2 linked regions of the Arabidopsis thaliana genome follow. The protein of the gene in region 2 interacts with the protein of the main gene of each other region in a biochemical or structural test. Each region holds a gene or a part of one and is shown on either strand. Other genes may lie near its edges. The genes, in order: DCP1 and MYA1.

Region 1 (5,003 bases), 3.4 Mb from region 2:
TTATTTGTTTGTGTCAAAAATGAATTAAAGCTTTGAGAGGAACTGGTTGAGGAGAGATTTGAACGTGGTAGGATTTGGGCTGATCGGATGGCTAGCTCCGTCGAGCATTCCAGCGATAAATGGGAAGAGCCTGACGGGTCTCTTCTTCGATAGCATCGGAACTGAGCTCGCTCACTTCCCGACTCCTCCAGCTCTCACTTCACAGTTCTGGTTGTGGTTGGTTACGTGGCACTTAGGCCTCTTCCTCTGCCTCACTTTCGGACAAATCGGATTCAAGGGCAGGACTGAAGATTACTTCTAAGGATAACTATTCTTGTTTTCGTTTGTACTATATGCTCTCTCTTGGTTATGTGTAATATTATCAATCAAAACAAAGCTTTCTTTGCTATTTGATGTTTCATTCTATATCTCGACAAGTCTTTCTTATATGATCTTGATTTTAAGAATGTCTGTCAGTCTAACTAAAGTATTAAATGTTAAAAGCGTTTCTCGAGGGAAAGCTCACAAAAGATTGGGATAATACTTCAAAACGAAACATCACAATACGTCTTTGACTTGAACCATACAAACAGTTTTTGTCTTGCAATCTCGAATCTTTTAAAAAATAGAAAAATTATCTCTCTTTCTTCTTACTCTTTCATGTTTTTTGTATTAATCTTGATGTGTATATGTTCCAATAAACTCTAAACATGCATGAAGATTTGTGAATCTAAAGTCTTTAACATGTCTTTCGACTACGAAACAAAAATTGATGAGGAAAGGTAAAAACTTGAAAGTAGATAAAATGAAAAAGTAATTCCAAGAGTTAAACAAAGGGGGCAGTGCAGTATCTTATAAGGTTCCAACAACACTTTCAGAGGGAACAAAACTACATTTTAACTACACATTCTAGATCAAACAGCCACTATCCCACACGTAGATGCTGACCAGCGCAGCTTCATTGTTGAAGTGCATTTTGTAAAGTTCGGGTAATCTTGTCAATGAATTCATCCTCCTGTCAAAAGCAACTCGTTAGGTTTGCACAGCAGCTCAAATAAAGTGATGTGGTAAAGGACGAACCTGCAACAGGGATAAAAGGGCTTCCTTCACTTTGTCTCTGCTGATAACCGGACCAGTGGGTGCAGGAGCGAGTGATGGTGGTGGAGTTGGGGGTGGGAAAGGCTGGAGCACCGGAGTACCATATGACCGCTGCTGGTGACTCGCATTATTAGGATTGAGAGGAGGAGCAGTGGGCATAGATACACCAGGAATGAGGTGTGGCTGTGCCATCATTCGTGGGGGGCCAAAGAAAGACGGCGTCACCAAATCTGTGTGAATGTTGGAGTTGCTGCTGATAACTTCAGGGTTGTTGTCAAAGAGAGTCATCAGAGGAGAGGAGGATTGTAGAGGCGGTGGTGATTGTATCTGTGGAGGTGCTGCTGCCGCTACAGGAGGAGCAATGGTGGGTTGGTGAGGCTGGTGAGGTTGGTGAGGAATCGCTGATGATTGGTAAGGTCCACTTGCTGACCCACTCGCAGTGTTCCCAAGATTCATCGTTGACTGTCAACAATTTAGATAAATTCAGTGTTACAATTTGAGGAGTCTAAGTTGGACCATATACTACGCTGAAGATAATTCAAGAACCTAGAAGGCTAGAACTAATAGAAAGCCCTCCTGCCATTAGTCGTATAAGATGCTGTCATGGTGAAGATGATAGTGTGAGTGTGTAACAGAAGCTTTAGAAACTTACGCTAAAGAAGTTGACAAAAGCAGGATCATCAGGGGCATCCCTAGCAGTTGATGATGGTTCAAGAGGACCATCCATAACTGCCATTGTAGGCTTAGCTTCCAATTCCTCAAACTCACTGCAGTACATAGAAAATCTAACTTAATTTAACAAGTAAGAGATATAACAGCGGGAAAAATGATTTAGATTATCAAGTTTCCACCTCAAAGAAAACACATCCAAGAAACAACTAATGGTGTACTAACTAAATCTAATCATGAAAATATTACCTCTTTGAAGATGAGGCCTTTGGCTTCTGGTTAACCTTGGAATATGCACTGAGTATTCTGTCATGCCAAGGAACCATTAGGCAGAGATACAACGAGTAAGAGTAATTTCAAGTTCATACAAATATACAAGAACATTATATTTGCCAACAAGTAACTGTCTGATAATAGGCAAATAAAAGACGATATTGATATTATTCATGATCCAACAATTGAAACCAACAGTTTCTACCTGATATGCAGTGACTTATATATACATACCTGTTGAAAAGAGTTGCTACCTCCTCGCATTCACGTTTATTGTAGAACCAAATGCCATTTACTTCTTGAGATGCATTACGGTAAAGTAAATATGGACCTTGTACTTCATACTCAAAATCTCCCAGGAGATTCTCCACCAGATTATCTATCCAGACAAATACAGCAACACACTGATGATTACTAATACTGAATCCTTAAATAAGAACTTGCAATATATTACTAAATCTAAACCTTTTCTAGACACATGACACACACCAACTTTATTTGAATAAATCCTGACCTGTATTACGACGATTCATCACAATAAACTGAAATCGAGGTTGTGTACTTCTGAAAGAAACAAAAAAAAGGATCCAATCAGATTTGAGAAGACGATTAAAGATAAGATACACATAGTTAAAGATCGAAAGTAGTAACCTTTTGACAACAAACAAAGATCCTTCAACGTCCTTACGACTCTGAATGACAAAAGACAGATCAATCATTAGGTAGGGAAGCAAACATCAAATTATGTAATCGAAGATTGATTGAGACTAACCCATTGGCTGAGCTCAATGTTGAATTCATAGAAAGTGACATGAGCGGCTGTGATGAGGATTTCCTCGATGTATGGATCGATCCGCTGGAGAACTGTGAGATTGAGGAGCCTCGTACTGTTTTGGTCCAGATTTGGGATTATCTTCCCGTTTTGAGACATCTTTTATAAATCAAAGATCAGAATTTTGGGAAATCTGGATTCGATTTTACCCTAATCGGAAGAACCCTAGAATTCTGATTTAAGGTAGCTGAGAGATTTGGGGACGGAGACGAAAACGCTAACTTTTGGAACGCACTTCGCTATTTTGTTGTCTGCTTTGGCAAAAAAAAATGGTAATTTAGTTATAAAACTTAAGAGAATAAATATACTGACCATAAAAGCATTAGAGTTTGCTTCAAAAATACATCATTAGAGCTTGCTTAAGAGATTATAAACAACATTAAAGAAGAATATTTATTCAATTGGAGTATAATCAGTGGGTTGATCCTTTTAATTCAAAGATCAATTACTGCATAGTCAATAGAATTTGGTTATGGAACAGTCCACGAGGACAATTTTCAAATTGAAAACGAAAATTTCTGTTTTTATTCACATCTGTGGATTGATTCGTCTTTGAAATAAGCACATCTAATTCAAAGATAATATAAGCTACAAAATCCATTAACCAAAATCACTGCAGTTATTTCAAATTATCCAAACCAAAAGCTAAAGAGGAGAGTAGCAGCACAACTCTTACACTGTTTAACAGATATGTCTGAAACAAAAACGAAAGGGTAAGAAGAAGTGTCTTATAGCCACCAATTTTAAGTAGGTGAAAGCTCAGAAGATTCTTTGTGGTGGTCCCATTGTGCTCTTGAGGTACAAACACCTGACATTTTGCCAGTTCTTCTTCAATAGCGAGACGAGGAAGTTGACGCTCATCTGCACATTCTGAAAGATCTGCTTCTCTTCCATTGAAAGGTTACCAACTGCAACTCCCATGCACAGAACCTTCTTCAGCTGGAACTTCACTGTTGCCTTTGTTTCATTCACCTTTGACTCCAAGGATTCCTGGTGGCTCACAAGAGTTGGGAATTTTCCTGTGTAAAGTAAAGCAAAGGAATGTTACTTAAGAATCATCAAAGAAGCATAATCTCACAGGATAAAGGATTGGCATTGTATCAAAAAGACATTGACAAAAGAAATAGACTACTAAAACCTATCCAAAATCAAAACGGATGTAAAGAAGAACAATGGAATATTAGCTGTAGCCAGAACTTGCCTGCCTTGTTAAGACCAGGACCAAGAAGACGAGGAATCTGCTTAATGACAGACTCAGAGGCCAAGAAAGCATGGTATTTCTTTGCAAGCTTCTTGACGAGTTTCTTGTTCTTGTTAAGCTTTTTTAGAGACTCAACATCCATGTTTTCCAACCCCATCTTCTCAGCCTACGAAAAGATACAAGATGAAATAAGCAAATATTTAATTATGCAAGAAATGAAGCCTAAATAAACAATGACCAAATTCCGAAAACATCATGCATCTACATTCAGAAGACATATACAACATCAAATGAAACTAATAGAGCCACCAAATGAAATGAGCACAAAACCATTATACAAGAAACAGAGCACAAAATGATCAATTTCCATGAAAAGATATATCACCTCTTCAACATGCTGGGCATCTCCGAGCATGCAGATCTTCATTTTAGGACGGGGGATATGTGGTAACTTGACAGATCCACTGAAACGCTTGTCCTTTTGAGGGTCATAGTTCTTCAGACCGATCTGGAGCTCAATAGTCTCGACAAAGTTACGTTTCTTTGCCTCGGATTTCCCTGTGATAGTAGTGATGGCTTCACGAACGGCCTCACTCTGAAGCTTACTGTATTAACCCACAAAGAACAGAGTTAAGCAAATTAACTAAACAAACAAAAATACACAACATTGACAACCTCAACATGAACAACCCACATTATAGACACTACCATACAAAATAATCTTATCTTAATACACCTAAATTTTTATGAGGCAAGATTTAGATTTGTCATCCAAATTTAGAGGCCTTAGTAAAGAGCATTTATGCAAAACTGCAGAACAACTTCGTGTCAATCCTAGACTATTAACATCATAAAGCTATCAATAACGCACATCCAAAAAACAATCACGATTCAGAGACGTATTGTTCTCTAATTAAACTTATTGCATATGACAGAAGAACAATACGTCTC
Region 2 (5,287 bases):
CCACAAGTTTACATAAAAATAAGAAGTGAAATGTTGGGGGGAAGAAGAATTAAGACCTTGATGCATAGCTGAAGTCCATTCCTTTTTCTCATGGACTTGAATGTGTATGTTTGTTATGTATAAGAAGAATAGAGAAGAAATGTTTTTACTTTGGAGTCTTGTAGGTGGATATGTTGTTGTAATATTGGAGATGTGGCTTAAGGAATTGTAACTGAAATTTATGTCACATTCACCTTAATACTTTTCTGTAATCTATTATATATAAATACTTGTTGTGAAAGAGTTATTATTGTCTTTTCTATTGTTATTGTTATACAACAGGTAATATTGATTCCAAAGTGTTTAATGAGGGATGCTGTATCAAACATGAAAACTAAGTGAAGGGTTTGGAGAAGGATGGTTGTTTAAAGCTATTTCCCCTGCTTTTTTTACTAAGAGAGTAGAGTTTAACAATTAAAAGAAACCTAAATAAGAGATCATAATTGGTACGTTAAGGTTTCATAATTCATTAGAATTAACAAAAATAATGAGTTGGATAGTTGAAGAATCAACAGAAACCCAAGTGATGAATGGATCAAAGAGAGTCACATAAAGGAGATCATAACTGATGTTTTAGTGTGGTGTATTGTCTCAAACAATGTGCTGAGCCAAAGAAAGGATCTTGAGCTGTTTCCTGAGGCGCATCTCGTGCGGGACAGGACCAAACACTCGGGTACCAGTCGGTTGGTTGTACTCCATTTTCCTCTTGGAACCATGTGAATTATTCTGCCCTTTCTTTTCCTTAATGCCAACAACTACAATGGCATTGTCATCAAACTTGACTTGGCTTCCATCAGCACGTCCTTTAGGCATCGCAGCACGCACAACCACACCGTACACGACCATCCCTTTCTTCACTTTACCTTTTGGGATAGCGTCTTTCTTTACTTTTTTTTGAACAATTGGGTTAGCTTCTTTCACTGAACCAACAATGATATCGCCAAGTCTTGCTCCTTTCTTACCTCTCAGGGATTGAATGCACATCACCTCTTTAGCACACGAGTTATCCACGCATTTGAGAATCGTCCCCATTTGAATGAATGTCCTATGTTGTTGCTGTGAATTGGAAATCATCAGGACACACAATTCACAGGTTATACCCCACGAATGCATATGAAGAAAGTTTCATCAAGGACGTATATTTGCGAAAAGAGGCTTGACCTGAGAGAGGATGCTTCCATTCATCATTCCATTGGAGGAGGAATTCATCAAACCAGAGAAAGCATTGCAAAGACCTCCAAGCAATGAACGTCCTACTCATATTGTCGATGAATCATATAACGACATCACCAACAATTAGTGACATTCACAACAAGAACAAAAAAGTTTTAATCTTGAGTCTGCATTTCATGAACCAAAGCAAAGTCCATGACATATCACAAACCCAAAAACTCAAAGCTCATTTCGAAACTTATACTAAATCAATGTTGCAAAAAATCTAATTTTTAAAGAACCAAACTTTATCGAATATAATAATATTAAGAGATGAAAATGTACCTTTGGAGAGCTTGGAAGCTAAAGCTGTCGCCATTTCTGCAATTCAAAAGTTTCGATCTTTAGTGTCGCAGAGAGTGAATGAATCTTGCGATTGCACAAAGACACCAGATTTAGGGTTTAACGTCACACACTCGCTGTCGCAGCGATCATTTGGGCTTGTAATGATTTTACTCATGGATTAAATTATATAGTAAAAAAGTGGTGACGTTGTCAAAAGTAGGCGTGCCGGAGTGGTTATCGGGCATGACTAGAAATCATGTGGGCTTTGCCCGCGCAGGTTCGAATCCTGCCGCCTACGTTTTTCCTTTTTTTTCGTATTTACCTTATTTTCCTACATTTTAAAACCAGGGGCCATAACATTTTTTCCACATGTACTATAACATTTGTTTATCACAAAATCTGAAATTCTTAATTAACAAAAATAAACAATGGTGATGCCCTAATAACAAACATTTCTTTCTTCTTTTTTTTTGCTACGAACTTTTTACTTTTGTTGATTGTTCATGCATTTACAAAGACAAAATCCAAAGTTTCTTAATGTTATGAAAAATTCCTAAATCAAGAAGTTAAACGGCTGAGAAGAGGTTGATCAAGTGGAACAATTCACCGATGCCGTCCATTTTGAAGCTAGCACTGGGACCCACTAGTAATCTGTATCAGACAAGAGACAAAATAAAACCCCCCAAATGGCTTCTCCAAGCGGAGCTCCAACGAAACGCCTTTTTTTTTGAAACTCTCCACCGCGATAAGAGAGAGAGATTACCAAATTCTCACCGGAGAAGAAAAAAGGGCTTTCCTTTCCTGAGATTTCCGGTGAAAAGTCATTGACTTTATCACTCTCAAGTCTCTCCACAAGTTGATTGATTCTGCTCTAATCTCCTCATCTGGGGTCTTTCCCCTCTTGCTATTCAAATGGTAAATTCAAATATATCTCTATACCATTTTATGTTTCTAAGAGATATCTCGGTCTCTTTGCTCAACTGTTTATTTGAAAACTGAAAACCTTGCTTGTTTGTTTCGTTAATGTTGTTGTTGCGTTTGCTTGCTTTACCCCTTTTTGTTTCCTGTATGGAGACGCTAATTCTTGATCTATGGTTGTTTTTACTTCTGAAAGGTTTTGGTTTGACTATGTCTAGCTCAGTTCTAGAAGCTTGCTCTTTGCCTGAATTAAAATCTCGTTTATATAATTTTGCCTAAAGCTGTAAAATAGATGTTATGTGCCCCTTGAACCTGTAAACTCTTTTAGAGGCAATGTATGTTTTTGATGTTGTTAAATGAAATGCAATGGTTGCAGGCTGCTCCAGTCATAATTGTGGGTTCACATGTGTGGGTTGAAGATCCACATTTGGCATGGATAGATGGAGAAGTTACTCGAATAGATGGTATAAACGTTCATGTCAAAACCAAGAAGGGGAAAACCGTAAGTTTCTATAAGGTTACATCTTTATTATTTTACTTCAATCAATGAGCTTGTACGTGGCCTCGACCTTTGGGTTTAGGCTAAAAAAGAGTAGGAATAAGTCCGTTGATAAATTTAGATGTCGATTAATGTTACGTTTTATCTTGGAATGGGATACTGTCATAGTCCCGTTATATCCCTAGATCGGCAGGTTTTTACCTTCTGCATTCAAGGTAGATGTAGGTTATTGTGCTTTTAGTGTTTTGATCAAACCAAGTAACATAATAAATAGAGAAAAATACCTTCAAAGAACGTTTTTGGTATTTACTGAATGTCTTAAGGCAAGTTTATACTCAGAAATATGGAGTGCATAAAATGAAGCTTTCAGGCTTTCTAGTCGGCAGTTATCTTGATATGTTGTGAGAGCTAATTTTATTGAAACCGTTACACGTGATAGGGAAACAGCTTAATGTGATAAGATGCAGCATGAGACGTAAAAACATGATTTACGTTGTCATTTTATATGTTGTTGCACATGATATATTTTCATGATAAGTTCTTTGCTGTCAAGTATAGATGTTCACACTTCCTTGTTGGCCATGGTTCTCCTCACATATCCCCATGTTGTATGGATTTCAGGTTGTGACAAACGTATATTTTCCCAAGGATACTGAAGCTCCATCTGGAGGTGTAGATGACATGACAAAACTTTCATACTTGCATGAGCCTGGAGTCTTACGAAACCTTGAGACAAGATATGAACTTAATGAAATATACGTAAGATATTTTATCCTTTTTTTCTAACATCTCTTACTTTTTGTTGCTGCAAAGGAAATCATTTGGTATAAGCTATGATACTAATAAGTTTTGTGTTACTTCTGTAGACATATACAGGGAATATCCTAATTGCAGTTAATCCATTCCAAAGGCTGCCTCATATTTATGAAACTGATATGATGGAACAATATAAGGGAATTGCACTTGGAGAACTAAGTCCTCATGTTTTTGCAATTGGGGATGCTGCATACAGGTTTGTGCATGTTCACGTCCATCAATTTATCGTACTTCTATCTATTTCGTGAGATAATTTACTGATTTGGTCACGGTGTAAGTTATTAGGGCAATGATTAATGAAGGGAAAAACAATTCGATTTTGGTAAGTGGAGAAAGTGGTGCTGGTAAAACCGAGACGACAAAGATGCTCATGAGGTACCTTGCCTTTTTGGGAGGGAGGTCTGGTGTAGAAGGAAGGACAGTTGAACAGCAAGTCTTAGAGGTTTGTTTATTTTTTTCATGAAAAATGAGGATGATTCCATATATGGCTGTATACAGCTTAATGTGTATATCCCCAATGGCACATTGCAGTCTAATCCAGTTCTCGAAGCATTTGGCAATGCAAAAACTTTACGGAACAACAATTCAAGGTACGTTCTTCATCTTTCCAAATCTGGGGCTTATCAGCTAAGTTCATTAATTAGAAACAGTTCATACTAGGATTTATTCTTAAATGCTTGGTTCCTAAGTTTTTTTTTTTAATGTTGTTAATTGTTCTTCCGATTATGCCTTAAGAAAATCGTATTCATTGTTACTTGACCTTTTTCATTCTTCTTGATGTTACCCACCTCGCAGTCGTTTTGGTAAATTTGTTGAAATCCAATTTGACAAGAATGGAAGGATATCTGGGGCAGCTATTAGGACTTATCTGCTGGAGAGGTCCCGTGTTTGCCAAATCTCAGATCCCGAAAGGAATTACCATTGCTTTTATCTTCTTTGTGCTGCTCCGCCGGAGGTATCTTATAATTTGTTTTCTTCTAATTGACACATTAAGTGCATGTCATCCGATGCTGATATCATACTCATTTTTTTTTCTTCTATTTTCGGGTTTATTTTGCAGGATATAAAGAAGTACAAGCTGGAAAACCCACATAAATTTCATTATCTAAATCAGTCAAGTTGCTATAAGTTGGATGGTGTTGATGATGCTAGTGAATACCTTGAAACCAGACGAGCTATGGATGTAGTTGGAATCAGTAACGAAGAACAGGTCCTGAAACTAATGTGTTAAAGAGGTCAGGTTTCCGTTCTGCTACTTTCATGTTAGAGTCTGACATCCAAAGTAATTTATTTACAGGAGGCAATCTTCAGGGTGGTTGCTGCAATTCTTCATCTTGGTAACATTGATTTTGGAAAGGGGGAAGAGATAGATTCATCTGTCATCAAGGATAAAGATTCCCGAAGTCATCTTAATATGGCGGCAGAGTTACTTATGTATGGTCCTTTTTCTTACTATATTTGAATCTGTTTATCCATTTTCGTTTTAGTGGATTATATATTCGTAGTAAATGCTGTTTT

The links.
Region 1: the proteins of MYA1 (region 2) and DCP1 form a complex in vitro, tested with the Arabidopsis thaliana proteins (one study listed by BioGRID).

The regions. Positions count from the first base shown.
Region 1 is NC_003070.9:2,636,302-2,641,304, reverse strand, and holds DCP1 (decapping 1), read right to left. Parts: upstream 3,269-5,003; 5' UTR 2,951-3,268; coding exon 2,792-2,950; intron 2,712-2,791; coding exon 2,671-2,711; intron 2,584-2,670; coding exon 2,534-2,583; intron 2,399-2,533; coding exon 2,254-2,398; intron 2,053-2,253; coding exon 1,996-2,052; intron 1,845-1,995; coding exon 1,730-1,844; intron 1,540-1,729; coding exon 1,060-1,539; intron 995-1,059; coding exon 938-994; 3' UTR 642-937; downstream 1-641. Other genes in the region: PSAO (photosystem I subunit O), read left to right, coding at 31-301; AT1G08360 (Ribosomal protein L1p/L10e family), read right to left, coding at 3,611-3,870, 4,053-4,218, 4,438-4,657.
Region 2 is NC_003070.9:6,037,005-6,042,291, forward strand, and holds the start of MYA1 (myosin 1), read left to right. Parts: upstream 1-2,245; 5' UTR 2,246-2,448; coding exon 2,449-2,451; intron 2,452-2,830; coding exon 2,831-2,956; intron 2,957-3,574; coding exon 3,575-3,712; intron 3,713-3,819; coding exon 3,820-3,965; intron 3,966-4,054; coding exon 4,055-4,211; intron 4,212-4,300; coding exon 4,301-4,359; intron 4,360-4,564; coding exon 4,565-4,724; intron 4,725-4,829; coding exon 4,830-4,979; intron 4,980-5,066; coding exon 5,067-5,203; intron 5,204-5,287. Other genes in the region: HLL (Ribosomal protein L14p/L23e family protein), read right to left, coding at 631-1,095, 1,201-1,292, 1,537-1,570. UniProt on the Arabidopsis thaliana protein: Myosin heavy chain that is required for the cell cycle-regulated transport of various organelles and proteins for their segregation.